4 linked regions of the Anolis sagrei genome follow. The protein of the gene in region 3 purifies or fractionates together with the protein of the main gene of each other region. This does not show direct contact. Links are inferred from orthologs where the notes say so. Each region holds a gene or a part of one and is shown on either strand. Other genes may lie near its edges. The genes, in order: THOC6, ALYREF, NCBP3 and THOC1.

Region 1 (7,480 bases), on a different chromosome or scaffold from region 3:
TATGTATCATATCCACAAGCCTTGTATCTAAATTCAAACCACATTCCACTGACTAAACGAACTGCAGCCTTCCAGGTGTTACTGTATTACAACTGCCATTAGCTCTAGTTATGATGATTATGATGAGGAACATAGGAGTTGTAGTCCAGTATCTGGAGAGCCACATAAAATGACATGGTGGGTCAGATCTGAACAGTCACAAACATGACAGGAATTGCTTGGATTCACCGGACCATAATGATCTACCTGTAAAGGAAACCACTGGCTTCTTGCTCTCTTCCTTGGCCTCTGAACTCAGTGCTGCTGAAAGGCTGTAAAGAGGAGGGAAAGACCGTGAAATGTAACTTGTAATCATTTCAAATTAATGTCTCACCCAAAAACACCCTTTGTGTTAAGAAAGCACTAGCTACCTGAATATGGCAATCTCTCCATAATTGTTCCCAGCCGCTAAATACTTTCCACAAGGCGAGACGCTCTGGGAGTAGACGGTCATGTGCAGCAGCTCAAGGGATCGCTGGATATTCATCTGGCAAAAGGTGGGATGAGAAGTCAGGTCAGTAGTACCACCCTAAATATGCTAGTCTTCACTGGTTTGGCGAAGTGAACAAGATCAAGCCTGGAGATCTCTAGTGTTTGGAAACAATCCGGCCTGTAATTCTGGAGAGTGGCTGTAAATTAGTATGGACAATATTGGGATAAATGGATCAATGAAGAGTTTCCTATCTTCTTGAATTTATGAAGGAAGGATGCTTAAAACTGTTACTGAGTTTTTGTTGTTCATTCGTTCAGACACTTCAGACTCTTCGTGACCTCATAGACCAGCCCACGTCAGAGCTCCCTGTCGGCCGTCACCACCCCCAGCTCCTTCAGAGTCGAGCCAGTCACTTCAAGGATATCATCAATCCATCTTGCCCTTGGTCGGCCCCTCCTCCTTTTTCCTTCCTTTTTCCCCAGCATCATTGTCTTCTCTAAGCTTTCCTGTCTTCTCATTACGTGTCCAAAATACTTCATCTTTGCCTCTAATATCCTTCCCTCCAATAAGCTTTTCTTCCTGAAATATGGACTGGTTGGATCTTCTCATGGTCCAAGGCACTCTCAGAATTTTCCTCCAACACCACAGTTCAAAAGCATCTATCTTTCTTCGCTCAACCTTCCTTATGGTCCAGCTCTCACATCTGTAGGTTACAACGGGGAATCCCATTGCTTTAACATTGCTAATGTGATGTCTCTACTCTTCACTATTTTATTGAGATTGGTCATTGCTCTCCTCCCAAGAAGTAAGCATCTTCTGATTTCCAGTCTGCAGTCTGCATCTGCAGTAATCTTTGCACCTAGAAACACCAACTCTGTCACGGCCTCCACATTTTCCCCTTCTATATGCCAGTTATCAATCAGTCTGGTTGCCATAATCTTGGGGTTTTTTTTAATGTTTAACTGCAACTTAGCTTTAGCACTTTCTTCTTTCACCTTGATTAGAAAGCACCTGGGGAAAGTGGAAGGCAAAAGGAAGAGGGGCCGACCAAGGGCAAGATGGATGGATGGCATCCTTGAAGTGACTGGACTGACCTTGAGGGAGCTGGGGGTGGTAACGGCCGACAAGGAGCTCTGGCGTGGGCTGGTCCATGAGGTCACGAAGACTCGGAGACGACTGAACGAATGAACAACAACAACAAGAAAGCACCTCAGCTCCTCCTCGCTTTTGCCCATCAAAGTGGTATCATCTGCATATTTAAGGTTGCTAATGTTTCTTCCAGCTATTTTAACCCTGACCTTGCATTCATCAAGCCCTGCATGATGTGTTCTGCATACAAGTTGAATAGGTTGGGTGAGAGTATACAACCCTGCCGTACGCCTTTCCCAATCTTGAACCAGTCTGTTGTTCCATGGTCAGTTCTTACTGTTGTTACTTGGTCCTTATACAGATTCCTCAGGAGAGAGATAAGGTGATTTGGTATCCCCATACCACCAAGAACTTGCCACAAATTATTAGGATCCACACAGACAAAGGCTTTAGAATAGTTACTGAGTCTACCTACTATTAAAATACCTTTGCTTATGTGTCGTAAGATGCTTTAAGTCAGATATAGGCAAACAGCCCTTCAGGTGTTTTGGACTTCAACTCCCACCATTCCTAACAGCCTCAGGCCCTTTCCTTTTCCCCCTCAGCCGCTTAAGCGGCTGAGGGGGAAAAGGAAGGGGCCTGAGGCTGTTAGGAATGGTGGGAGTTGGAGTCCAAAACATCTGGAGGGCCCAAGTTTGCCCATGCCTTCTTTAAGTGAATTGTTCCAATTGGTTTTTTGGACTTCAATTCCCATCCATCTTGGCCAACAGTCAGGAATCCTGGGAGCAAGAAGTCCAAAATACCTGGAGGAACAAAATGAGACACTGTTGCTTTAAGTGAATTCCTGTCCAAAGATACTAATAATTTCAAAAATTAAGAAACCATATCCATTTATTCACGCCTTCCCCGCAAACCAAAAGAACCACAGAATTGATTTGTTCTCCAAGAAGATTCAGAACCAATTCCAGAAAGCATTCTTCACTTTCTATCTCTATGGGCAAGTAAGGAAAGAGAAGCTTCCACGAGCGCAAGGCATCACGGGAGTCGTAGTCTTCCCAGAGCCATATCCTACCAGAGGGCGGGGAAGAAGCGACAGTTGGGACTACATTTCCCAAGCTACCTCGCGGTGGAGTTACATTCCGTCACGTGACTGAAAAAAGGCATTTTGTTGCTACTTTCCTACGCCGCTTCGTCCCCGGCTTCAAAGAGAGGGCTCCTCCAACCAGAAGAGAGTCGTAAATCGTATTTGCACGGTAAGAATGAGAAAAGCCTTGCCTTATCATACAGCGCATGCGCACAAGAGACCTGTAGGCCCACATCCCCCTTCCTAGGCTAGGCCCTCTACTAACCGTTGGTGGCGCCGCGTTTCCCTCCTCTGCTTGACGCATGCGCAGAGAAGCAACGCGCTTCAATGGCAGGGAAAGCCACGCCCCTTCTGAGGATAGACACGCCCACCGTGAGGGGAATGTATGAAGTCGGTGTTGCTAGGGCTCTCTTAAAATGGCCGCCTGGAGCGCAAAGCACTCTGGGATCTCTATTGCTTGCCTTTCTGTGGGCGTGGGCCTGGATTAGTAGGCCCAAGTCAGGCCAGGGCAGAGAGGTCTTGTCCTGAATTGCCCTCAAAAGGCTTGCCTCCTAATGTGACCTTTTTAGACCCTGAACCTTGGAAAGAAAGACATGACAAGGATACATTCATAATAGATCAAGGAAGGCTATGAGAAAGGTTGCATTACGGGAACTGTGCTGGTACGGCTGTAAAGATAGTCCCCTGACATTAAGTCCAGTCATGTCTGACTCTGGGGGGTGGTGCTCATCTCCATTTCAAAGCCGAAGAGCCAGCGTTGTCCGTAGACACCTCCAAGGTCATGTGGCCGGCATGACTGCATGGAGCGCCGTTACCTTCCCGCCGGAGCGGTACTTATTGATCTACTCACATTTGCATGTTTTCGAACTGCTAGGTTGGCAGAAGCTAGGGCTGACAGCAGAAGCTCACGCCGCTCCCCGGAATCGAACCTGAGACCTTTTGATCAACAAGCTCAGCAGCTCAGTGCTTTAACCCACTGCGCCACCGGGGGCTCCAATAGGGCCAATGACCCATCAATGATTATGTTGTTTAGTTCCGCCCCTTTTTCTGGGTTAAGGAGGGGGAAAGGGGGGCCTGTAGTCAGGCCTGTAGCGAGGGGGTGGTTTTAGGGGTTCAACCCCCCCCCCCCCCTGAAATGTTTCAGATTTTTTAAAAAACCTGGTTTACTCATGAATTTTAACTGGTTAACCAAATCCCCATGCTAAGTCTATGAGATGCAAAAAATTACAGAGTCCCTCCAGAACTGCAAGCACTATCTCAAGCAAATATTGACAATTTATCCACACTGTCATTACTTGCAGCAATAGCCGATGTAGTAAAGCAACCAAGTTGGGTGTGTTTGTGTTGAATTCTCTCATTAAGGAGGCCAGACTTGGTGGAGGTGGTTGACAGGGGCGGAGCTGCAGGTTATTGAAGGCTGCTCTGCCCTCTGCTGTGCTCTTTGCTTCAGCGTGGGCTAGGAGGCAGGTTTCACCCCCCCCCCCCCCCGCAAAATTTTCAACCCCTCCCGAATTTTGTTTCTGGCTACGGCCCTGCCTGTAGTTCAGTTTACACAGAGAAGCCTTTCATACAGGATGTGAATCAGTTCCACCTGTAGAAAGCTTCGTCTTTTACAGCTTTGCTGGGGGATCCAGTCCCACAGCTCTACCGAGAACATCAAGCAAAAAGTGGGTGCTAGAAACAATATCATACGAAAGCTGACTGGCACAACCTGGGGATCACAACCAGATACAGTGAAGACATCTGCCCTTGCGCTGTGCTACTCTGCTGCTGAGTATGGATGCCCAGTGTGGAACACATCTCACCACTAAAACAGTGGATGTGGCTCTTAATGAGACATGCCGCTTTATCACAGGGTGTCTGTACCCTACACCACTGGAGAAATTACACTGCTTAGCCGGTATTGCACCACCTGACATCCGCCGGGAAGTAGCAGCCAATAGTGAAAGGACCAAGGCAGTGACATCTCCAGCTCACCCCCTGTTTGGGTATCAGCCAGCATGTCAATGACTTAAATCTAGAAATAGTTTTCTAAGATCTACAGAGACACTCGCTGGAACACCTCAGCCCTGACACGACAAATAAATACCGAGAACTACAGCATAGCCTTTGTTGGGGAATTTAGTTCCACAACTCTACAGCCAGCTCTTTGCTGGAGAAATACAGCTCCACGGTTTTTCAGCCAGCCTTCACTGGGAAACAAAGGACTTCTTTCCTCTTGAAAATCTACACAGAGACTTTGGCCTGGTAAGGACCTCTTGCGGCAGCCATAATGCAAATTGGAACCGAGTATAGGGGCCCCACGCCAGCAAAGCCTAAATATAGATTGCTCAAGAAGGGGTCAAGGATTTCCCTTATAGAAGGAAGAAACAGTTTATGAAGAAAGTTGCCTGTCCCTTGTGGACAAGATTTAAGCAAGCCACCAGTTGATTCAAAGCCTTGAAGTATTTGTTTGATTTATTAAAGATTTAAGTAACAATAAAAACTTTGTTGAGCTTTCTAAGTCTTTAAAATAACTTTGTGTGGAGAAATCCAAACGGCCTCTCAGCCGAGGCACCCCCGGCGTCCCGTTGGGCATTCAGAAAACACGTCCTGTCTACAGACTCTTTCGCAGGCCCAGCGCGTGACAGCATAGGAACAGTTTTTGTGGACCTTATGGCAGCCCATGTTATGGTGCAACATGAAACCAAACCGTAGCTAATAACAACAGTCCACTGTCCATATATTATTCTTTTCCTCTTCTAATCATTGCAGTTTATCATTGTTTCAGTGGGCTAGGTGTTAGGTGTCCTCCCTTCCTTTTCCTCTTCTCCAAACACACCATTTATGCCATAACATTAGTATTCCTTGAAGCAAAACAGGCATTGCATCCGAACATTAAAAAAACATACAGCACTAAAATAGCCCACTCAGTCCATTGCAAGCATCAACTGTTGTTTGGATCAAGTGTGACCTATTCTGGTATTATGCCTTAATGTTTTACAACCATCAGCAGTGAAGGATACGGTAACAGTCCAGCCAGAAAAGTTATGTACTTGCAAGTGTTACTTCACTTGTTTTCAACTGAAGTAAGACAACATCAAGGCTCCTTCTACACTGCCATATAATCCAGATTATCAAAGCAAATACTCCACATTATCTGCTTTGAACTGGATTATATTAGTCCACACCTTCCGTATAATATAAGTCGCCCTAAAGGGCTGAGAACGGCGGTCAACAAATGCAGCTAATAAATAAATAAATAAATAAATAATCCAATTCAAATTATATAATCTGGATTTTATATGGTAGTGTAGAAGGGAGCCGAGTCTCTTTTTAGAGAGAAAAAATTGGGTATTAATAATTATTATAATAATGACTATACTTGGTGTGTATGGATGCAAGTTCTTAGGCTCCTTCTACTTTCATATAAAATCCATATATATATATGCTTTGAACTGGATTATATGGAAGTGTGAATGCAACCCAGTTCAAACCAGATAATGTGGATTATCTGCTTTGATCATCTGGACTATATGGCCATGTAAAAGGGATCTTACATAAACATAAGGTCAAGTCTAGGGATGGGAAGCATTGGCTCTCCAGATGTTGAACTCCAATTCCCATTAGCCTCACCTAGCAGGGCCAGTGGTCAAATATGATGGGGAGAGTTCAACAAGATATAAAAGGACTTCCAGTGTTTCTCATTTTGGCCAAACCTTTGTGGTTGAAAATGAGGTTTTGAATTGGAGATGCTGGGCCATGAATTTAATACATTTCTGAGTCTATGTGAAATAATCAAGTCAATTTAAGTTATTCCTTCTTTTCACACCCAAAAACTTCAGTAAAGACTAGCATTACCATAAATCTCCTAAAGTGCACAGCTCTATAGGATCACCATGTATTCTATATTCAATAGAAGACTGGTTCAACCAGAGAGGTGGGCTGTGGTGGAGCACTTGGTGGGCCAACCTGGACATGGCGTGTTATTTAGGAGCACAGAAATGCTGGACCACTTTGGCGGCTGCCATGTCGAACGGCACAGGGAGACCATTGAAGTCCACATGCATGTGGACAGTTTGAGCAGAGGGGAGGAGGCCATGGGGAGGAGCAAAATCTGGGTACCAGTATTAAGAGACCCTAGGATTGGGACAGTGAATGAAGAGGAGCTCTCAAAAAAGGGGGAGTTCCAGATGGGAGGCAGACAAGGCTAGTTAATCACTTCCCAACAGGGGATTCCCTCAGCCAGGAAGCAGCCAGGCTTTGAAGCTGCAAAGCTATTCAATGAAAGAGCTATAGATCCAGGCAGGAGGCCGACTGCGTTGGATAATACAGAACATTGGATGAGTGAAGGTTGGATAAGTGAGACTCTGTATGCACACCCAAGATTAGGTAAGATGAATGACAAAGAATTAATTATGGCCAGCATTGCCAAATTTGACAATTTGAGGGCATGTTTATCATACCTCTGTAGGAGAAGAGAAACTTATTTTAACCATTTCCTCTCTACCTTTAACTTCACAGATGGATCCAACACCTGGTGACCCATCGGCCGCATTGCTTCCATCCAGCCCACCCCAGCGCTGCTCCCTTTTATCTGGGAAGAGGGGCTGGAGCCATGGCCGTGCCTCCAGCTGGCAACGAGACATGACACGCAAAGGGACATGGTTCAGGACAAACCAAGGAGTGGTGAACTTCAGTGGTACACAACGATCCCGGTATGTGTATGACATGAAGCTATTTCCGGGATGGATCTATCTTATTGGATGGATTAGGAAAAGAATGGCTTCTGAATAGTGCTCGCTCTCCTGGTATTTATGAACCTATATAGCTATATGAGAGCTTTGCAAAGATTT
Region 2 (7,282 bases), on a different chromosome or scaffold from region 3:
AGAACAAACTTATTATTATTATCATCATCATCAATAAAGATTAAATCTCCTACCTCTGTATTGGTCTCCTCTGTGTATCTATTTGTGATGTAACCAGTTGGATATTCATGGGACGTCCTAAAAATAAAAAGGATATGCATCACAAGGGTTATTAGTCCAAAAACCTTACTAGTCTGTAAAATAATGCTAAAATACTTCTTTCAAGAACCAAGGGTTGGAAGCTTCTCAGGACCATACCATTTTAAACTGTCTTCTTGGTTTCTATGCCAAAAAAAACAGATTCTCCATTCTTCCTTTGCCACCCTCTTACATAGAATAATACATACACACTCCAAACACATTTCCTTGTTATTTGTAGCTACCAGAGAAATACTTAAATTCAAGGCTAGCTTATCTCTTATTCCACTGTGTAAATATCAAGATAGACAGTTAAGCACGTACCATCCAGGGGAACTCCATTGTACTGTTTCATAGCCTTCAGAGCATCTGCCTTCCTCTCAAAATGAACATCTGCAGTACCTAGACTACGCCCAGATCGGTCATAGTGTACTGCTGCCTTCTTCAATGTACCAAATTCTGCAAAAAGTTCCTGAAAATGATATGGTAAAAGTAGGAAGTTATCTCAACCAGGAGGATTTGGCAAAGTATTCAGGTCTTTCTAAAAAGATTACCCATTAAAGCAGTAAACTCTTTCACTCTCACATTTGCCATTTTACTACAACTACAAATCAGATCTTGCATTAACTTTGCCTCATTTTCTACTTAAATTAACCCCAGAACTCAAGGAAAAATGCAAGAAATGTAGGGCAGAAGATCTCCTGAGGAGGCAATGTTGATGAGACCTCCACCAAGGTGCCTCAGCCACAAAATAAAGTGGAGTGGTTGCATTCCTCATAGCCCCACTACAAATAAAATCAGAAGAATAATTATGGAAAACAAGTTCCCTGCTGTACTTTCTGTAGTGGAGCCCACTGTGGTGGAGAACTGCTTCTTGGGCATTTGAAGCGGCTTACCCTGCTTAAGCTACATACTCCTAAACAAGTTAAGTGATCTTGCATAACACTATATAAACCATTGCCATGTTTGAATCTCAAATCATGCAAGTGTCTTTTGCCTTATGCTGTTTTAAGAGCAGATTGGCAAAAAGTCTGGCCTTCATGAATCCAGTGTGTGAGCATATGTTCATCTGAAGTCATAAAAGCCATTGTACCCTACAACCAAACCACAATATATTCTTGTTTGCCTATTGTCTGATACAACATTGGCTTTATTTCAAAGGATAAACAGTACTGGGAAATGTGGTTCAACAGGATAAAATTTTCTCCCTGCAAAAAAGCCTGATTGTTTACCCTCCTCATAGAGTTTATTTTATGCATGCATTTTAGCCATGTTTCATTGTTATTTTATGGTGCTGTGTTTTTATGGTTGCATATGGCATTGAATATTTGCTTTTGTATTAGAAATCGCCCTGAGTCCTTTCAGGGAGATAGGACAGACTAGAAATAAAATTTTAATGATTTTTTAATTAATAATTTTCTGTCTTTGTATAGGTTAGCCTTAGGTTCAGACTTCCCTGCACAGAAAAAAATAATCCAATAGAGATCCACATATCCCAAGGATTACAAAAAGAAGTGTGTAGAACAGATATATCTACTATAGTACTAAGCTTATGAAATTGTTTAGAAAATGTTCATATATGTACTCTACACAAAACAAGACAGCCTATGAATATCAATGTGTTTGCTAACAATCCCAAACTATCAAAGGAAATAAATATTAATGCTGATAATTTCACAGAGAGACATTTCTGCTTCTCTCCAAACATTAAGACATTTGTCACAATCATAAAAAAACACCCATGTCCACACAGATGAAATTTGCAATAAGATGCCCAAAATAAAGGCGGTCTCCATTACACAACCTTATCAGCTAGCTCAGGCATGAGCAAACTTCGGCCCTCCGGGTGTTTTGGACTCCAACTCCCACAATTCCTAACAGCCTACCAGCTGTTAGGAATTGGAGTCCAAAACACCTGGAGGGATGAAGTTTGCTCATGCCTGAGTTAGAACAAATTCCAACACTGGGCCACCTATTATTAGAGATGAAGGGAAAACCTACCTGTATGTCCGCATCTGACACGCCAAAATCTAGATTAGAGACCAGAAGTTTTCCACCTGTCTCCACACCAGCGCCAGGACCAAAGCCACTTTCGAAGAGATCATGTTGCCACTTTTCTGGAAGTTGTTTGGGCTGGAAAGAAAGGGCACCCCAAGTCAGTAACTGATCAGCATATCTTAAGGCATTGGTTCTCAACCTGTGGCTTCCCAGATGTTTTGGCCTTCAACTCCCAGAAATCCTAACAGCTGGTAAACTTTCTGGGACTTGTAGGCCAAAATACTGGGGACCGACAAGTGGCAAACCACTTGTCTTAAGGTCTCATGTCCCCTTATTTTCAGACTACAGCCCCTAGAGCAGTGGTTCTCAACCTGTGGGTCCCCGGGTGTTTTGGCCTACAACTCCCAGAAATCCAAGCCAGTTTACCAGCTGTTAGGATTTCTGGGAATTGAAGGCCAAAACATCTGGGGACCCACAGGTTGAGAACCACTGCCGTATAGTATAAGCCTAGGCTTCCCTGCGTTTTCTCCCCCAGGTGCAGGCCCAAGTGCTATCACGAGTTGCGAATGCAGTGAGAGTCCAGATGAGCCCGAAGGCAGACCCCCAGGAGACGCCTGGCGGAAACGTACCCGGCTGTAGGGCGCCGGCCTGTTCCTGCCGCCTCCCCGGGACAAGGCGGCTCTGTTCCGGATGGGGCCTCCGCCTCCTGCCCGCCCCGCGCCTCCGCCTCCTCGCCCCGCGCCGCCGCCGCCTCCTCCGCCGCCTCGCCCCGCGGCCCCTCGCCCCCGGCCTCGCCCGGCGCGCCCGCCTCCGCCTCGCTGGCTCCGGTTGAGCTTGATAATATCGTCCAGAGACATGTCCATTTTGTCGCCCATGATGGCGGCTCCCTCCGGCTCCTGGGGCCTACGCTTCCGGCCGCGCTGCGCGAGGGGACCGGAAACGGATGAGGCGGGGATACAGAGGGAAGGGCGGCGAAGGAGAAAAAGAAGGAGCCTGGCTGAGGAGGAAGAAGAAGGAGAAGGAGGCGGGAAAGAAAGGAAGGGAAGAGCGCGGTGGGTGGGCGCGCTTGCGCTCGTGCCGGGCTCCTCCGCTGAAAGAAGTGCGCCAAGGGGCCTCTCGCGCTCGGTTTTAAGGGCTTGGGTGCGCGAGGAACTATGGGAGAGCCCTTGGGGGCGGGACTTCCGGTAAGGGGAAGGGAGGCGGGAAGGTTGGAGGAGGAGGAGGATGCTGCCTCGGGGCAGGGGAGGGGGCTGTTCCCCCCAAAGCCCCGTCTGCACTAAACATTTCATACAGTTCGGCAACCAGGCGACAAACTCCCTTGAATGCAAAGCCCTTAATGTGCCTCAGGGCTTTCAGCACTTTCTGGGCCTCAAACTGGCTCCAGGATTTCTCATGTAGCCATCTGACTGCACAGCAAAATCGCTTTGGAACTGCAATAAATGGCCAGTGTAGACGGAGACCTCAGACTACAGTCTTGTGGCTGCTGCTGTTGTTTGGCGGCTGCTCTTTGGTAAAGAGATCCGCACGTAATAATAGCCCAACGCTGAAGCATTGCCCAGGCCAAGCTGCTAGTTCCAACGAGAGCAGAGCCATTACATTGGTGCCAGGGCCCCTGGTGGTGCAGCCGGTTAAACCGCTGAGCTGCTGAACTTGCTAACCTAAATATTGGCTGTTCGAATCTGGGGAGCAGGGTGAGCTCCCGCTGTAAGTCCAGCTCCTGCCAACCTAGCAGTTTGAAAACATGCAAATGTGGGTAGATCAATAGGTACAGCTCCGGCAGGAAGGTAACAGCACTCCATGGAGTCATGCTGGCCACATGACCTTGGAGGTATCTATGGACAACACTGGCTCTTCAACTTAGAAATGGAGATGAGCACCAACCCCCAGAGTCGGACACAACTAGGCTTAATGTCAAGGGAAACCTTTACTTTTATAGATTCATGCCAATTGACTACGCAGCAGTCAGTGTGCGCCTAACAGTTGTAAAGGTGCCAAGGTCTGCCTGATCTTGAAAACTGCATAGCTCCTAGATGGGAGACAGCCACCAAATATCAGATGCTTTAGGCTAGGGGTCCTCAAACTTTTTAAAAAGAGGGCCAGGTCACAGTCCGTCAAACTGTTGGAGGGCCCGATTATAATTTGAAAAAAATATATGAATGAATTCCTATGCACACTGCACATATCTTATTTGTAGTGCAAAAACCACTTTAAAACAATACAATAATTAAAACAAAAACCAATTTTAACAAATATAAACTTAATAGTATTCCAATGGGAAGTGTGGGCCTCCTTTTGGGTGATGACATAGGATTGTTGTTGTGTGCTTTCAAGTCATTTCAGACTTAGGTTGACCCTGAGCGAGGGCCGGGTAAATGACCTTGGAGGGCCGCATCCGGCCCTCGGGCCTTAGTTTGAGGACCCTTGCTTTAGGCTATAACAACAGCAATCCTATCTCAGCCAAAAGCAGGCCCACACTTCCCATTGAAATACTAATAAGTTTACATTTGTTAAAATTGTTCTTCATTTTAAATATTGTATTGCTTTAAAGTGTTTTTTGCACTACAAATAAGATATGTGCAGCATGCATAGGAATTCATGTTATTTTCAAATTATAATCCAGCCCTCCAACAGTTTTAGGGACTGTGACCTGGCCCTCTGTTTAAAAAGTTTGAGGATCCCTGTTCTAGAGGCATCTTTCCTGATGTTTCGCCTATGGCAAGCATCCTCAGAGGTTGTGAGGACCTCACAAGGATGCTTGCCATAGATGCAGGCGAAATGTCAGGAGAGAATGCCTCTAGAACATGGCCATATAGCCCAAAAAACCTACAATAACGCAATCAGTCAATGATCAGCTTGAAGTGTTGTGTGTATACAGACACACAGATAGTGCAAAGAGCCTGCTATAGTTTGAGCCAACCATTAATTTTAGGTCACTGTTACAAAAGCAGCTACTTCATCACAATAGAGCAAACATGGGCAAACTTGGGTGCTCCAGGTGTTTTGGACTCTAACTCCCACAAGTCCGAACAGCTAGTAAGCTGTTAGGAATTGTGGGAGTTGGAGTCCAGAACACCTGGAGGGCTGAAGTTTGCCCAAGCGTACACTAGAGCATCTATCCACTTTAAATCCAGTTGTTCCCTCCTGCAAAATTCTGGGGTTTGTAGTTTAGTGAGTTCCAAGACCTCTCTGGATGAGCTTTTTAAAGGCCACTCTCTAAACTACAAACCCAGAATTCTGCAGGAGGCAGAAACTGGATTTAAGGTTGATAGATGCTCTAGTGTGCTGAAGTCCCTAGTTCTTCAGCTACCTAGGGTTTACTTCTTACAAGCTGTTTAAAAGAAGATGGCAAGATACGGGGAGCTGGTAACTGAAAATACAGTGTTTAAAATATTAATCTGATAATATGTAATTGCCCACGGGGAAGAATGCTTTATTTTTGATATGTGCTTTCAATAATTATGTACTGCTTTAACATGATAGTTTAAATTGTTTTAATGTTTTATTATTGGTTTATTTATTTATTTATTTATAAGAAAGGCAACATATAAATTAAATAAGACTCAGTTGAGAATATCCTGCAAAATATGGATATCTTTTGCTTTTCTTCCTTTCAAGGGCTGCGATAGGAACTATTGCAGTCTTAACAGTATGCAAAGGGGTCTTGTGGCACTTAGAGACTGAAAGAATGACGCTAGTAGCTTAAACTTTCATAATTCGTCCGATTTCTCAGATGCATGGACTGAAGTGCTTGGGAAAAATTCATAAAATCTATGTGATAAAAGTTTATGGTCCTAGAAGTTCTGTGTCAGTTTATTTATATTGTAAACAGCAATATCAAATAGTTAATTATAGTATAAAAAAAATGATTGTGTTTCAGTACATACATGTTTATCAGGTGGGTTAGCACCAGACATTCCTATTTATCCCTAGGGTAAAGAGATCTTTATACACAGAATGTGTGAATAGCCATAGAAATGCAAAACAGGTACAGGACAGTCCAAGAACTCCCTCCACCATTCATATGCTTATCTACTTATCTTGCCTTTAGGCAACATCTTCTCGACTCCCTTTGTTCCTCAGTGACATCATTAACACTGAACTGGTCATTTTAGCACCATGCCCACAAACTCTGTGGCGAGCTACTGACAAAATAGACTTGATCTTGGAAAGGTTATGTTATCAGTTTTGTTGTCTCATTTTGCCTCTAAGGTACTGCAAGATCCCTTTGCATACTGGTATTCTAGACTAATGCAGTCATGCCTTTGAATTCTACCCACATGGGATATGATTCCTACCCAACTACTTCAAATTTTGTTGAGTTCAATATTAATAATGTACCCAGCTTTGCAATGTCTTAATGCTGCTGTTCTTCTGCAATGCTTTTGTATAGTTATGCTGGGCATTAGGACCTTGGTATTCATCTGCTGTAATGGTTATACTATAAAAACAATGTAATCATAGGTAAGAATTAATATATATTACTTTGCTTTAATGTCTCAAAAATCTCTGCTTCCATCCTGTCCTAATCTGGAATTTGGTTGTAGTCTGTCCTGCATCATCCCTAAAGAAGGCACAAGCTTAACATACCTCCTGGACTGCATATACATTGTAAGACGAATATTAATATAATTTATAATGCCATCTATTGCTACCCTGGTGGAAAGGTTAAATAGGTTAAATAGTTTTTAAATTGCATTCCAGCTCCAATCTTGCTAGGAAACAGAGACTTTGATTTCTAGAAACTCTGATTCCCATTTTAGAAACAGTGATTTCCATTGGTTTTTTCTCTCCTCCCTTCAGGTGCTAAACTAGGTTGATCTAAGTGTGGTATTTAGTTGAACACAATGAAAGTGAAAATCAAGAGCTGGCATGGAGTTGCCTCTTGGCTCTGGGTTGCCAATGATGAGAATTGTGGCATTTGCCGGATGGCCTTCAATGGCTGCTGCCCAGATTGTGAGTATTGGGACTATCTGCCCACTGACATTTTTCTTGATCGATATACACTGTCTTTTCCCAGCTTTGCCCTAGTAACTCTTGTGTTTTGCAGGTAAGGTGCCTGGAGATGACTGCCCGCTGGTGTGGGGTCAGTGTTCCCACTGCTTCCACATGCACTGCATTCTCAAGTGGCTTAACTCCCAGCAAGTCCAGCAGCACTGTCCAATGTGCC
Region 3 (7,302 bases):
CCTTCACGCCGGAGCAGTACCTATTCATCTACTCACATCTGCATGCTTTCGAACTGCTAGGTTGGCAGTAGCTGGGGCTGACAGCGAGAGCTCACCCAGCTCCCCAGATTCAAAACTGTGGCCTTTCGATCAGCAAGTTTAGCAGCTCAGCGGTTTAACCTGCTGCACCACCAGGAGCTCTCTCTCTCTCTCTCTCTCTATAGGTGTATGTATGTGTATATCTATATATATATCTATATATCTATATATATATATATATGAGAGAGAAGTGTATTATAAAATCCTAGAGCGAGATCAAAACCTTCCCGACAGATGGCCATCCACTCTATTCATACAATCCTAGAACGGGAAGAGATGCCTCAAGACCTTCCAATGCAACTCCTGCCCTATTTTTATTATTTTGTCGTTGTGACTAGTGTATATATATCGAGAGATAAGTGTATCATAAAATCCTAGAGTGGGATCAAAACCTTCCCGACAGATGGCCATCCACTCTATTCATACAATCCTAGAACGGGAAGAGATGCCTCAAGACCTTCCAATGCAACTCCTGCCCTATTTTTATTATTTTGTCGTTGTGACTAGTGTATATATATCGAGAGATAAGTGTATCATAAAATCCTAGAGTGGGATCAAAACCTTCCCGACAGATGGCCACCCAGGCTGTTCATACAACCCTAAAATCCTAGAAGAGATGCTCTATTATTTTATTGTTGTGACTAATGATATATATATATAGAGAGAGGGGGGGGGAGTGTATTATAAAATCCCAGAGCAAGATTAAAACCTTCCCAGCAGATGGCCATCTAGTTCCTATTCATACAATCCTAGAGTTTGAAGAGATGCCTCAAGACCTTCCAATCTAACTCCTGCCCTATTATTATTATTTTGTTGTGACCAGAGAGACATGTATTATAAAACCCTAGAGCCAGATCAAAACCTTCCCGACAGATGGCCTTCCAGCCTCTCTTCATATAAATCCTAGAATGCTAGAGTGGGAAGAGATGCCTCAAGACCTTCCAATCCAACTCTTGCCATATTATTATTTTGTTGTGACTAGAGAGAAGTGTATTATAAAATCCTAGAGTGGGACAGATGCTCTATTATTTTGTTGTTGTGACTAGTGATATATATGTGTGTGTGTGTGAGAGAGAGAGAGAGAGAGAGAGAAGGGTATTATAAAATCCTACAGCGAGATCAAAACCTTCCCTGCAGATGGGCATCTAGTTCATATTTATACAATCCTAGAGCGGGAAGAGATGCCTCAAGACCTTCCAATCCAACTCTTGCCCTATATTATTTTGTTGTGACTAGAGAGAAGTGTATTATGAAATCCTGGAGTGGGATCAAAACCTTCCTGACAGATGGCCATCCAGCCTCTATTCATACAATCCTAGAGAAGGAAGAGATACCTCAAGACCATCCAATCCAACTCTTGCCATATTATTATTTTGTTGTGACTAGAGAGAAGTGTATTATAAAATCCTAAATAGGAATTAAAACCTTCCCGACAGATGGCCATTCAGACTCTGTTCATACAATCCTAGAAGAGATGCTCTATTATTTTGTTGTTGTGACTAGTGATATATATATATGAGAGAAAGAAGTGTATTATAAAATCCTAGAGCGAGATCAAAACCTTCCCGACAGATGGCCATCCAGGCTGTTCATACAACCCTAAAATCCTAGAAGAGATGCTCTATTATTTTATTGTTGTGACTAATGATAGATAGATAGATAGATAGATAGAAGTGTATTATAAAATCCCTGAGCAAGATTAAAACCTTCCCGACAGATGGCCATTCAGACTCTGTTCATACAATCCTAGAAGAGATGCTCTATTATTTTGTTGTTGTGACTAGTGGCATATATATATGAGAGAGAAGTGTATTATAAAATCCTAGAGTGGGATCAAAACCTTCCCGACAGATGGCCATCCAGCCTCTGTTTATACAATCCTAGAATCCTACAAGAGAAGCTCTATTATTCTGTTGTTGTGACTAGCGATATACATATATATGTGTGAGAGAGAAGTGTATTATAAAATCGTACAGCGAGATCAAAACCTTCCCGACAGATGGCCATCCAGCCTCTGTTCCTACAATCCTAGAGTGGGAAGAGATGCCTCCAGACCTTGCAATCCAACTCCTGCCCTATTATTATTTTGTTGTCATTATGGGCCGGCGTCAAATACTGAAGTGGGATCAAAACCTTCCTGACAGATGGCCATTCAGTCTCTGTTTATACAATCCTGGAATCCTACAAGAGATACTCTATTATATTATTGTGACTAGTGAGACATATATATATATATGTGTGTGTGTGTGTGTGTGTGTGTGTTGTTCACATATATATTATATATATATATATACACACACACACACACACGAGAGAAAGAAGTGTATTATAAAATCCTACAGTGAGATCAAAACCTTCCCTGCAGATGGCCATCGAGTTCCTATTCATACAATCCTAGAGTTTGAAGAGATGCCTCCAGACCTTCCAACCCAACTCCTGCCCTATTATTATTTTGTTGTTGTTGTCATTATGAATAATAATACTATAATCCTAGAGTCGTGAGGGACCCAGGAAGGCCATCCCATCGGACCCCAGCGTATAACACAATCAAAGCCCTCCCGACAGATGCCCGCCCGGCTCTGGCTCCTTCTAGGCACACTCTGCACACGCCCAGAGGCCTCTTTTACCGGCAGCGCCCTCCGCAGGCTCCCCGAGGCCTCTCCTCCTCCGCCTTCCTCCTCCTCTTCCTCTTCCAATGGCGGCGGAGGAAGAGGCTTCTGCTCTTCCTCCTCTTCTTCCTCCTCCTCGCCTTCTTCTTCTTCTTCTTCCTCGGGCTCCTCCTCCTCCTCCCTCTCCTTGGGCGGCGGCAAGAGCAGCTCGCCCTCCTCCACTTCCATGGGCTCCGGCTCCGACGAGGCCGGCCCTTTGAGGGAGACGCGGAGGCCCCGAACCGCCGCCATTGCCCAAGGAAGACAGGAAGGAAGCACAGACCGGAAGCAGAGCGCCGGAAGAGCAGAGAGAACTCCACTGGCCTTCTGAGCTTCGCAGCGCCATCTAGCGGGCAAGCATGGACAAGGCAGGGTTTCCATATGGCAATTGGAGGCGGGACACCAAGGAAAGCCGAACAGCGGGGGATTTAAAAGGAGGCGGGGCCTCGCTAGACTCCTCCCCATCGTGGGCGGGGCTTCCATCTGCAAACTGGAGGCCACAGAGAGTTTCATCTATGCTGATGATCGTGCCATCACCACTCAAGCAGGGAGCTTTGATTCTATGATTCATAGAATCATAGAATCAAAGAGTTGAAGCTGAAGGGACAGCTGTAGTGACAGTTAGAGAGTCACAGCCAAAAGTAGAAAAGGAAGAAGTTATGGAAACAGCTGAGGTAGAACAAAAGGAGGCTAAGAAAGAAAGCATGGCTGAATTCAAGAGTGAATATGAGAAGACAATGTCAACTGGAACTTCACAATAGATCTACTAAGAGAAATGGATATAGGTCATCAATATCTAAATGCAATCAGAGCTATCTATACCCACCAACTGGCAACAATAACAATTAATGGCCAGCAATCAGAACACATAGTAATCCAGAAAGGGACCAGGCAGGGGTGTCCCCTTTCCCCAATACTCTTCATTCTAGCATTGGAAGTTCTTCTGCAGAAAATATTCACAAACAAGGAATTGAAAGGGCTTAAGGTCAAGAATCACATCTATAAAACTAGAGCTTTCGCAGATGACCTGGTTTGCTTTGTGGAAGACCCACTAGAGAACATAAACATGTGGCTATCAGAAATAGGAAATTTTGGAGAAGTCTCGGGATTTAGAATAAACAAAAACAAGACAAAAATAATCACCAAAAATATAAAGAATGAAGAGAAAATAAAACTACAGGAAACATCCGGAATCAAAATAGTAAAGGAAGTTAAATATCTAGGGATAACCATAGCAGAGAATAACGCACACTTGATCAAGAACAACTACGAAAAGAAATGGAAAGAAATAAAGAGGAAAATGAACTCATGGAACTGCTTAAACCTCTCTCTGTTAGGCAGGATCTCCTCCGTTAAAATGAACATCCTTTCGGACGTCTTATTCTTATTCCAGATGCTACCCGTCCTAAAATCTAAAACATTAATTGGTAAATGGCAAAAAGAGATCTCTAAATTTATTTGGAGGGGTAAAAAACAGAGAATAAATCATAACTGATCTGATCAGTTATGATTTATCTGACCGATGACAAGAAAAGAGGGGGCTTAGCCCTTCCCGACATGCAACTCTACTACGAGGCAGCAGTCCTGCGATGGGCGAGAGATTGGATGACGCTGAGCAAAAGGAAAATACTGAGCTTAGATGGATTTGATCTGTCACAAGGCTGGCACGGATACTTGTGGAAGGCGGAGAAAGAAAAACAGTTTAAGAATCACCCAACCAGAGCTGCCATCCTGCAAACATGGAACAGATACAAAGACAGGCTGTATAGCAAGACCCCCCTTTGGTTTGCACCTAACGAAGCACTCCACTTGAGAGAATTACCTAGAGACCGCTGGCTAACGTATGCCCAGTTATTAAAGATAAATGCACATGAGATCAAGCTGAAATCCCAGGAAGAACTCAAACAACTAGATCAATCCATTTCTTGGTTTCAATACCACCAAATATCAGAAAACTTCAAGATAGATGCGAAGAGAGGATTTCAAACCCAAGAAACATTCTGGGACAAGATAATGAAATCAGAAAAGAAAGCAAGTAAAAAAGTATACCAACAATTGCTAATATGGTCCACGGAGACGGAATAGGTGAAAGGAGTCATGATACAATGGTCAAGAGATGTAGGAAGATCAATACATATGACAGAATGGGAGGAAGTGTGGTGCAATAAAATAAAGTATACTTACGCAGCGGAGATGAAAGAGAATTGGTTTAAGTCTTTTTATAGATGGTACCTCACGCCCGAGAAAATATCTAAGTTTAGCAGAGGTAGAATTAGAGATGTCTGTTGGAGATGCGAAAAACATAAGGGTAACTATATCCACATGTGGTGGAAATGTAAAAAGGTAAAGTCCTTCTGGCGTGAAGTTAAAAAAATAACCGAGATCATACTAAAGGAAAAAATAGAACTTAAACCGGAGGTAATGTTTCTGGGAATCATCGACTCCATCAAGGACAAGAACTCAGAAAAACTTTTTTTTTACTTCACCACTGCGGCGAGAATAGTGGTAGCTAGAATATGGAAATCCAAGGAGACACCGACTGTAGAGCAATGGTTACTGAAAATATGGGACATCATGAATATGGACATCCTCACCCAAAAAATGTCACAGAGCATAGCAAAACCCCCTAGGACCAATTGGGAGGGCTTTTTAGGATATATAAAAGGGCTATATAATGAGGTAATATTAATACTATGCATTAAGGAAACTTGAAGGTATAGCAAAAGGAAACTGGCGATTACACTAATACCAATTTAGGCAACAGAAAAGAAAAGGGGATTAAAGTATAGTTTATTCCCCGGTGCCGGACCAGCAAAACCTGGAAGTATTTTAAAATTCACTGGGGGAATAATTGTTGGTGTTGGTAAGTGTTGTTATTGACATGTAGTCGTATTGTATTCAGTGGTATGTTTGTTTGTCCGTTTGTATGTTCGTTCGTATTGTCTTATTGCACTAATACACCTCTCTCCTATCAGCTCTCCTTAGAGCACTATATTCTAAATAAACATATTTTTTAAAAAAAGAGAAAGGAAAAAAAGAAAGAAAAAAAAAGAGTGAATATGAGAAGTTGACTATGGCAATACAAAAGTGGGATCAAGGCCATGTACATGAAACATACATAATTTTAATACTCTTAAAAGTATGGAAAAAGTATAAAGGTTACTTCTACTCTAAAACGCCCAGATGGGTGTCACCATCGGAGGCCTTCCATAAGAAGGAATTACCGAGGGAAAAATGGCTCAATGATAACCAACTTCTAATAAGAGACAACACCCAATGGTGCTTCAAATCAATGGATGAACTTCGAGAAATAGACAAAGAACTGTGTTGGTTCCACGATCTGCAAGCAAAAGAACGTTATAAGGAGGATTGCAAAAAAGGATTCTCCGAGACTGAGACCACTTGGGATAAGATAATGAAAAAAGAAAAAAAAGTGATAACGACACTATATAGAAGCCTATTAGAATGGAACAACGAAAAGGAATTGATAAAAGAAAGTATGAACAAATGGGCGAGAGACATAGGCAAGACCATATGGCTCAGAGAATGGGAGCAAATCTGGAAAAAGAAAACCAAACTTACTAAAGCCACATCTATTATAGAAAATTGTCATAAGATCATAGAATCAAAGAGTTGGAAGAGACCTCATGGGCCATCCAGTCCAACCCCATTCTGCCAAGAAGCAGGAATATTGCATTCAAATCACCCCTGACAGATGGCCATCCAGCCTCTGTTTAAAAGCTTCCAAAGAAGGAGCCTCCACCACACTCCGGGGCAGAGAGTTCCACTGCTGAACGGCTCTCACAGTCAGGAAGTTCTTCCTCATGTTCAGATGGAATCTCCTCTCTTGTAGTTTGAAGCCATTGTTCCGCGTCCTAAGGGACATATTGCCGGGAGTTTCCTTATTCTGGAAAGGCACACTGAAACACCCACGTTTTCAGGCTCCTTCTAAAGACTGCAAGAGTTGGGGCATGCCTAATGTCCTTGGGGAGTGAGTTCCAGAGTCAAGGGGCCACCACTGAGAAGGCCCTCGTCCCCACCAATCGCCCTTGTGATGGTGGTGGGAGCATGAGCAGGGCCTCTCCAGATGTTCGAAGAGATTGTGTGGGTTCGTACACAGAGATGGACAGGGCAGCAGAAAACAAGCTTGCTCCCTCCTCAGTGTGGCTTCCTCTCACATATTTATACATGGCTATCATATCTCCTCTTAGCCTTCTCTTCTTCAGGCTAAACATGCCCAGCTCTTTAAGCCGCTCTTCATAGGTCTTGTTCTCCAGACCCTTGATCATTTGAGTCGCCCTCCTCTGGACACATTCCAGCTTGTCAATATCTCTCTTGAATTGTGGTGCCCAGAATTGGACACAATATTCCAGGTGTGGTCTAACCAAAGCGGAATAGAAGGGTAGCATGACTTCCCTAGATCTAGATAGATTTGGAAGAGAACTCGTGTGCCATCCAGTCCAACCCCATTCTGCCAAGAAGCAGGAAAATTGCATTCAAACCACCCCTGACAGATGGCCACCCAGCCTCTGTTTAAAAACCTCCAAAGAAGGAGCCTCCACCACACTCTGGGGCA
Region 4 (7,725 bases), on a different chromosome or scaffold from region 3:
AGAAATGTCTCCTAAAATATACACAAAATATTTACATGTCAACTTTCTTTTATGACAGAAGATGGAACAGATGTCACTCTCAGGCATACACATGATCCAGACCTGCTTTACTCTGGCACTGATGCACCAAGTGTCTTTGAGTAATGCCATGTGTCTGAAAGGCTTATACTCCTATATTCACTTAGCAATGCATCAAATTAAATTCAGTTTTCCTCCAAAATAATCTGTTTAAACATATGTTGTCTTGATAAATAAATAACACTCTCAAACAATGCACTGAAAATCTAGGCACTCTTTGGGCACGTTAAGGAAATCCTACATTAATGGATACATGACAATTCTACATAGCATAAAACAGTCTAAATGAGAAAGGAAGTTATATTGATTCAAGATGTTCCTGAACTGCATCTGCCACAATCCCTTCCTACTAGCTAGGACTACTGATAGTTACTTGGAGTTACAGCCAGTCTATGTTTAGAGGGCTGAAAAAGTCTTCTACCTAACTTAAGCCAAAATTAGTTGAACCAGATATACATTAGGCTTGTGCACATTAAGCTTGCTTAATTAAGCTCCCTGCTGTCCTTCCCTCGGCAGGCTAAAACCTTTCATTCAGGCAGCCTCTTAAAGATGGCTGTGTTTAAGATCAATTCAGGGTGTTGCTGTGGTTTTTAACTTTGTTTTAATGGTTTTTAATTGAGAATTTTTGAATACTGTTTATATTTATTCCTATGTATAAATATAACCTTTACCTTACTTCGATAAGTAAGGTAAAGGTTAAGGTTTACCCCGATATTAAGTCCAGTCGCATCCTACTCTGGGGCTTGGTGCTCATCTCCATTTCTAAGCTGAAGAGCTGGCATTGTACGAGACATCTCCAAGGTCATGTGACTGGCATGACTTCATGGAGCACCGTTACCTTTCCGCCGGAGCGGCACTTATTTATCTACTCACATTTGCATGTTTTCAAACTGCTAGGTTGGCAGAAGCTAAGGCTAACAGCAGGAGGTAATCCCGTTTCCCGGATTCGAACCGGCAACCTTTCGATAAGCAAATTCAGCAGCTCAGGGGTTTAAATCATTGAGCCACCGGAGACTCCTTAATGTCTGTATATTTTAAATGGTTATGCTAATACTTGTATGTTAAACTGCTTTGAGTCCCCTTCAGGGGAGATAAATCAGGGTATAAATAATAAATAAATAAATTCCCACTGGAATCAATAGGAGTAAATCTTTCCAAAGCACACTTTGGGGTTTGGCCCGATTTCTGTTACTTTGAAGACGAGGGTGGAAAAATTAGCCAGACAAGGCACATCTATATAAACAAAAATGTCATGTTCGTTTGTTGGATTAACAGAACTCAAAAACCAGTGGACCAATTGACACCAAATTTGGACAGCATACACCTAACAACCCAATGTATGTCCTTCACTCAAACATTTTTGGTTTTGTCATTTGGGAGTTGTAGTTGCTGGGATTTATAGTTCACCTACAATCAAAGAGCATTCTGGACTCCACCAATTATGGCATTGAATCAAACGTGGCATACAGGACTCCCATGACCAATAGAAAACACTAGAAGGGTTTGGTGGGCATTGACCTTGAGTTTGGGAGTTGTAGTTCACCTACATCCAGAGAGCACTGTGGACTCAAACAGTGATGGATCTGGACCAAACTTGGCACAAATATTCCATATGCCCAAATATTAACACAGATGGAGTTTGGGGAAAATAGACCTTGCCATTTGGGAGTTGTAGTTACTGGGATTTATAGTTCACCTACAATCAAAGACCGTTCTGAAACCCACCAACGGCATAATTGGGGCAAACTTCCCACACAGAACTCACATAACCAACAGAAAATACTCAAGGCCATCCAGTCCAACTCCCTTCACCAGGGCAAGAAAATGTAATCAAAGCCCTCCTGACAAAGAGCCATCCAGCCATAGATATATATATATAGATAGATAGATAGATAGATATGATTCACACACAGAGAGATAGAGTCTCATAGATTTGAAAGGGAACTCTAAAGAAGGGCAATTATATGTTGCATATTCCAGGGTAGGCAAACCAGACAATCTCTACATCAACACTGACAAAGAAACAACAAGAAATACTGTTTACCCACAAGCATAAAGAAATTACACAGATTAGAAACCATTACTTTATTTTCCAGATCACCAGACTGGGCCACAGCAACGCCTGGCAGGGGACAGCTAGTATATTATATATGAACACATCTAAAATACACACTATGAATGCTGCAGCCTAAATTAGGCCCCAAATCAAATCTGTAATAAAGCAATAATTAAACATTAAAAATAGCATACCATTGAGCAGGTATGGGCCAACTTGGGCCCTCCAGGTGTTTTGGACTTCAACTCCCAGCATACCTAACAGCCTCAGGCCCCTTCCTTTTCCCCCTCAGCCGCTTAAGCGGCTGAGGGGGAAAAGGAAAGGGCATGAGGCTGTTAGGAATGGTGAGAGTTGAAGTCCAAAACACCTGGAGGGCCCAAGTTGGCCCATGCCTGGCCTAGAGTAAGCTGGGCCTAACACAGCAAAGATTTGTTTGTGTGTGATGTTTGAAAGGCAGTGGACATATGGAACAAAACAAAAGAGGCACATATCCAAATCTAATAAGAGCCCAAGGGAGGAAAACAGACAAAGTTAAAACAGTATTTTCGAAAGGTTTGGTCTTCCAGAAGTTTTGGACTTCAACTCCCAGGATTCCCGACTCTGGGCCAAGCTAGCTGGGGCTTCTGGGAGTTGAAGTCCCAAAGAGAAGGCGTGGGAAAGGCTGGGAAGCAACGAAGGGAGGAATATAAACGGCTTCTGCCTTCCTCTCCGAAGTAACAACACCTCACAAGCCGCTCACCATGAAACGCAGCCGAGCCTCAGGCAAGCTGAAGAGCAGCGGCGGCGAGGGAGACATGGTTGCCGCTCCTGACAGAAACACGGCGAGGTCTGCTGACGTCATAACCCCGCGCCAACGCTCCGCCTCGTCCATGCCTGCATTGCTCACAAGAGAAGAAGGAAACAAGGGGGAGAGCGAGTTCGAAAGGGCGGGGCCTCTGTCTCAGCATGGGCGGGGCATAGAGAGGCGAAGTCACATGACTCTCTCTCCGCGCTTTCACTTCACCGTTTTGCCGCTAGGGGCAGTGTATTGCATTCTTGGATAACAATAGCCTGATCCTGTCTAAACCAACGTGAAGGAGAAAAAAGATAGGAAGGAAACATTTTGCAGCCTGTCCATTCTCATCAAAGTGTGCATCTACACTGCAGAATTAATGCACTTTTAACTGCTATGGCTCAGTGCTAAGGAATCCTGGAAGTTGTAGTTTTTCAAGTGAGGATTATATATCTGTGGAATGATGTCAGGATGGGAAAAAGAACTTTTCTCTGCTTCAGGCAAGTGTGAATTTCGCAAAAGATTAGCATTGAACGGCCTTGCAGTTTCAAAGCCTGGCTGCTTCCTGTCTGGGGGAATCCTTTGTTGGGAGGTATTTTGCTGACCCTGATAGATTCTTGTCTGGAATTCCTCTGTTTTTTTGAGTGTGGTTCTTTATTTACTGTCCTGATTTTGGAGTTTTGTTTAATACTGGTAGCCATATTTTGTTTATTTTCATGGTTTCCTCCTTTCTGTTGAAATTGCCCACATGCTTGTGGATTTCAGTGGCTTCTCTGTGTAGTCTGACATGACAGTTGTTGGAGTGGTCCAGCATTCCTGTGTTCTCAAATAAAATGCTGTGCCCAGGTTGGTTCATCAGGTGCTCTGCTATGGCAGACTTCTCTGCTTTATTTATTTATTTAGAGCTTTTATAACCCGGTCTTCTCGACCTCCGAAGAGGGACTCAGGCCGGCTAACAGCAGAAAATTCATACACACATAGAATAAACATAATAGCACCATAATACATTAATACAAAATACATTATAATACAGATCATACAATGGTTGAGTTAGTCTGCAGTGCCTTTCATGTTCCTTGATTCGTGTTTGGGTGCTGCATTTTTTGGTCCCTATGTAGACTTATCCACAGCTGCATGGTATATGGTAGACTCCTCTTGTCCTTTGGTAAATGTAGCATTTGTTGGATTTTCTTAGTGGGTCTGTAGATAGTTTGTAGGGTGTGTTACTTCATAGGCAGTGGTTTTTTGTTTTTGTTTTTTTTTTTTGTCGTGTCAGGAGTGACTCCTGGTGTGAGAGAATTGGCTGTCTGCAAGGACGTTGCCCAGAGGACGCCTGGATGATTTGATGTTTTTATCATCTTTATGGGAGGCTTCTCTCATGTCCCCGCATGAGGAGCTGGAGCTGATAGAGGGAGCTCATCCGCCTCTCCCCGGATTTGAATCTGCGACCTGTCGGTCTTCAGTCCTGCCGGCACAGGGGTTTAACCCACAGCGCCACCAGGGGCTCCTATAGGCAGTGGTGTATTTGATGTATTTGAACCACAGACTAGCTCCTTGTACCACTCAGATGGATATTTAATTTTAAAATATCTGGTTTAGTTTCTAGTGAACGGGAAAGTAAACAATTATTTTTAAAATTGTAAGTACTATACTGCTTAACACTTTGGAGCCTAGAAACTATAACTGTGATTAATTGTTTTTTTCAAAGTTATAGTCCAAGCTCAGGTTCATATGAGCCCTTAATAGTAAATATGGCAAAACACTGCTTCCTTACCTCATAACTGTGTGTGTGTGTATGTGTTTGTATACATGTGGAGATATATAACTCTCCTTCCAACTTTACCTTCCAAAATACTTTCTTATCTAGTAGGTAAATTGGCCTCTCCTTCTTACTGTCACAAACAAAAGCTGCATTGGATAGAAAACATTAGTGTTAAGAATAAATTCTACAGATTGTAACTAGAAGATAAGGAAGATACATTTTATTATTTTGATGAATTCCATGCTTGCCATCCTGGTTAGGAGATTCCAAGAGTTATATTTCCCTAAAGTAACTTTCCCAATATCAAGTCTCGGTACTGCTGGAAAATCAGACTACTGCAAAAACGGTTAGAAAAACACAAAGGTTAACCTTTTTGTCTCCATCCATCGAAGGATAGAATAGCTCCATTATTATAAAAGGATAAAATTCGTTAGTTGCTACAGACTGCAACTATAGCACAACTTGTATAATAATTCTTTAGCAAATGATTGTGTTTGATCCTCTCTTTTTTGCTTGTTCATTTATTTGGAATGACCAAATGTTCAATTTCACAATAAAGCAATGTTGAGTCTGCAGTGGTATGATTCTGATAGAGTGGATTGATGCATGTGCTTGCACAGCAGATTTTAAAAGAGGGAAATCAGGTAGGGAAAAGGGTTCACCTGAGTTCATTGATCATTTCAAGAAGAAAAAGAAACAATGAAGGTTTTTGGGTAAGAAGAGGACACAATTGCTAATATGAGCTGGGTTGGTCCATATGTTAGGGAAAACTACCCTAAAATAAGTAGTGGAGCATCCAAAAACAAACAGGATACAAAAGTTGAGCATCAGCTCACTAGCAAGCAGAGCGTGAAGTGTCGTGTGATGTGGTTGTAAAAAAATTAGAGCTTAGGAGGCAAACATGCAGAGTCCAATCTTTAAAAAAAATCACAAAAGTTTTATTTACAATAATAAATAACTAATTAGATTTCTTCATGGTAAAGAACTGGGTCTGAGCTATTTTAACACCCATCTCTTCTAAGGTTTCAAGAGAGGGAAAAACTCAGTCACTACATCTTTCTTGACACACAAGCAGAGAAAGATCTCAAAGCACACAGCACATACGGGACTTTCCACATATACTAGGTTTCTACTTCCATCCATTTGTTCTCTATTACTACTTTTTAAAGAAATATGCAAGTGATTGAATGAAATTGTAATCAAACAATACAATGTTTCCAGAGCTGTGGTGTTAAATAACGTATTTTTACTCATACACATGTTATTGTATTGTAACTTATTCTCAGCATGTTTTCCCGCCTGTAGCTCTTTATTTAGCTTTGGAGAGATTTTGATGTAGTAACTTAATAACATCTACATGATTTCCCTGCTATGCCTACAGGAAAAAAATGCCACAATGTTGTGAAGTTAAAGCATTGGTGTAGACAAGGTCTCAATTCCAATATAGTGCATAACTCTCAGAGAGAAGAAGTGGTATTTCTTTTCAAGGAGCTGCCATACCTAGTTGTCACCCTGATTGATTCTATACAAAACTCTGAATAGGAAATTGTTCTTTTACTAAAACCATTGCATAGCTCGATGTTTTCATTTCCTCAACTCTCTGGAGACTGGACTCCTCTCCTACCACAAGCTTTAAAACAATACATTTCTGTAAGGCTATTCTGCAGCCTTTCTTTAATAAATCACGTAGAGTACTTCTTGGTTGAAAACCAAATCAAATCAACCAACTACTCTTTATACCAGATTGCTTTTATGGTCTTTGGGGAAAGCTAAATGAAATGTTTCTTGTTTGTGTTGACATTGCTATCTTCAGTGACACATGAACAAATTGTAAAGGCCACTGTTTCATAACAGACCTCTTTTTACTTATAGTTCCCACTACTGTAAAAAAAAAAAAGAGTAGCAATGTTTTGGGTTCTTGTGGTTGAAGAAATCTATACACACAAAGGGGATGGGTATCTTTTTGCCTGGTTACAATTTGGTGCACTTTGGTGACTAAAGAGATATAACTATGGCTGAATTTACACATGGGCTATATTCCTAGCTTGAATGCAAAGTATCCTGCACCAGCTTGACTCCCCTTAGTGTCATATGCAACTGTTTTAATCCAAACTCAGTTGTAAAAAGCATTGACCCCCAAATACCAAAAGGGTGTTAATGAAAAGTTCAAAAGAGAGGCAGACAATAGCAGGATAGTACAGAGAAGCCGAATGTCCCATTTCAGGTCATAAGTCAAGTACCAGAGTTCAAAGTACAAGGTTGAAATTAGAATTTGTAAACTGAGGTTCAAGGATAAGTCCGGAGTTTAGGAATACAAGAAAGCAACACTCCATTGTCATAGCTTCTAGAACTGATGTTGCAGCCAGTAACAAGGTGCCACCTGTGAAGTCCTTAAATCCGAAGTTCTCGGAGGTTACCTGTTGCTGGCTCATTTCTCAACTAGTCTCCAAAACCTGTGCAGCTGAGGCCCTCTTTTTTCCAGGTCCATGAAAGCTGGAACAGTTCCTCTTCCTCAGCCTTCTCCAAGGAACGCCCTTGCACTTGTTCTGCAGGCAGTAACTCCTTCAATGGGTGTTGCTTGAAAGCTTGGTTGAGGAGTTGATGGGCATGGCTAGACTCAAGTTCAAGCACAGAGACTTCAACCAGCCTCTGCTCATCCATGCTTCCCAAACTGGCCATGACACCAGTTTTGCATTGGATCACATTCTTTCCTCAGTAGAAATCAATTTGGATCAAAAGAGGTGTTTCCTGTCTTTCCTGAATTCTTGTTGTATTGGATCACTGTTGATCTTTACCAGGGGTCCTCAAACTTTATTTAACCAAGGGCTGGTTCACTGTTCCTCGGGGGGGGGGGGGGGAGAGACTATAGTTTGAAAGAAAAAAAAACTGAACAAATTTCTATGCACAGTGCACATATTTTTAGTGCAAAAAACCCCCCAAACTAAAATGAAAGAACAATATAATTGTTCTGTCGCACGCTGGGCCTGTAACAGCTGTCTTTTCTATAGGACGTATACTTTAAGCCCAGCGGGAAGCCAGGGCGCCTCAAAGAGAGGT

What was found.
Region 1: the proteins of NCBP3 (region 3) and THOC6 purify together in Homo sapiens (co-immunoprecipitation; 3 studies listed by BioGRID and IntAct, with this or other methods). This does not show direct contact. The link is inferred for Anolis sagrei from reciprocal best matches to the Homo sapiens genes NCBP3 and THOC6.
Region 2: the proteins of NCBP3 (region 3) and ALYREF purify together in Homo sapiens (affinity purification with mass spectrometry; 4 studies listed by BioGRID and IntAct, with this or other methods). This does not show direct contact. The link is inferred for Anolis sagrei from reciprocal best matches to the Homo sapiens genes NCBP3 and ALYREF.
Region 4: the proteins of NCBP3 (region 3) and THOC1 purify together in Homo sapiens (co-immunoprecipitation; 4 studies listed by BioGRID and IntAct, with this or other methods). This does not show direct contact. The link is inferred for Anolis sagrei from reciprocal best matches to the Homo sapiens genes NCBP3 and THOC1.

Annotation. Positions count from the first base shown.
Region 1 is NC_090026.1:16,484,300-16,491,779, reverse strand, and holds the start of THOC6 (THO complex subunit 6 homolog), read right to left. Parts: upstream 3,009-7,480; 5' UTR 2,950-3,008; coding exon 2,911-2,949; intron 2,815-2,910; exon of another isoform or gene 2,679-2,814; intron 527-2,678; coding exon 411-526; intron 312-410; coding exon 247-311; intron 1-246. Other genes in the region: HCFC1R1 (host cell factor C1 regulator 1), read left to right, coding at 7,149-7,342. UniProt on the Homo sapiens protein: Component of the THO subcomplex of the TREX complex which is thought to couple mRNA transcription, processing and nuclear export, and which specifically associates with spliced mRNA and not with unspliced pre-mRNA.
Region 2 is NC_090022.1:113,659,392-113,666,673, forward strand, and holds the start of ALYREF (THO complex subunit 4), read right to left. Parts: upstream 3,001-7,282; 5' UTR 2,991-3,000; coding exon 2,745-2,990; intron 2,251-2,744; coding exon 2,119-2,250; intron 590-2,118; coding exon 442-589; intron 118-441; coding exon 54-117; intron 1-53. Other genes in the region: ANAPC11 (anaphase-promoting complex subunit 11), read left to right, coding at 6,960-7,068, 7,163-7,282. UniProt on the Homo sapiens protein: Functions as an mRNA export adapter; component of the transcription/export (TREX) complex which is thought to couple mRNA transcription, processing and nuclear export, and specifically associates with spliced mRNA and not with unspliced pre-mRNA.
Region 3 is NC_090031.1:29,857,020-29,864,321, reverse strand, and holds the start of NCBP3 (nuclear cap-binding protein subunit 3), read right to left. Parts: upstream 3,018-7,302; 5' UTR 2,979-3,017; coding exon 2,706-2,978; intron 1-2,705. UniProt on the Homo sapiens protein: Associates with NCBP1/CBP80 to form an alternative cap-binding complex (CBC) which plays a key role in mRNA export. NCBP3 serves as adapter protein linking the capped RNAs (m7GpppG-capped RNA) to NCBP1/CBP80.
Region 4 is NC_090024.1:60,858,359-60,866,083, forward strand, and holds the start of THOC1 (THO complex subunit 1), read right to left. Parts: upstream 3,017-7,725; 5' UTR 3,006-3,016; coding exon 2,874-3,005; intron 1-2,873. UniProt on the Homo sapiens protein: Component of the THO subcomplex of the TREX complex which is thought to couple mRNA transcription, processing and nuclear export, and which specifically associates with spliced mRNA and not with unspliced pre-mRNA.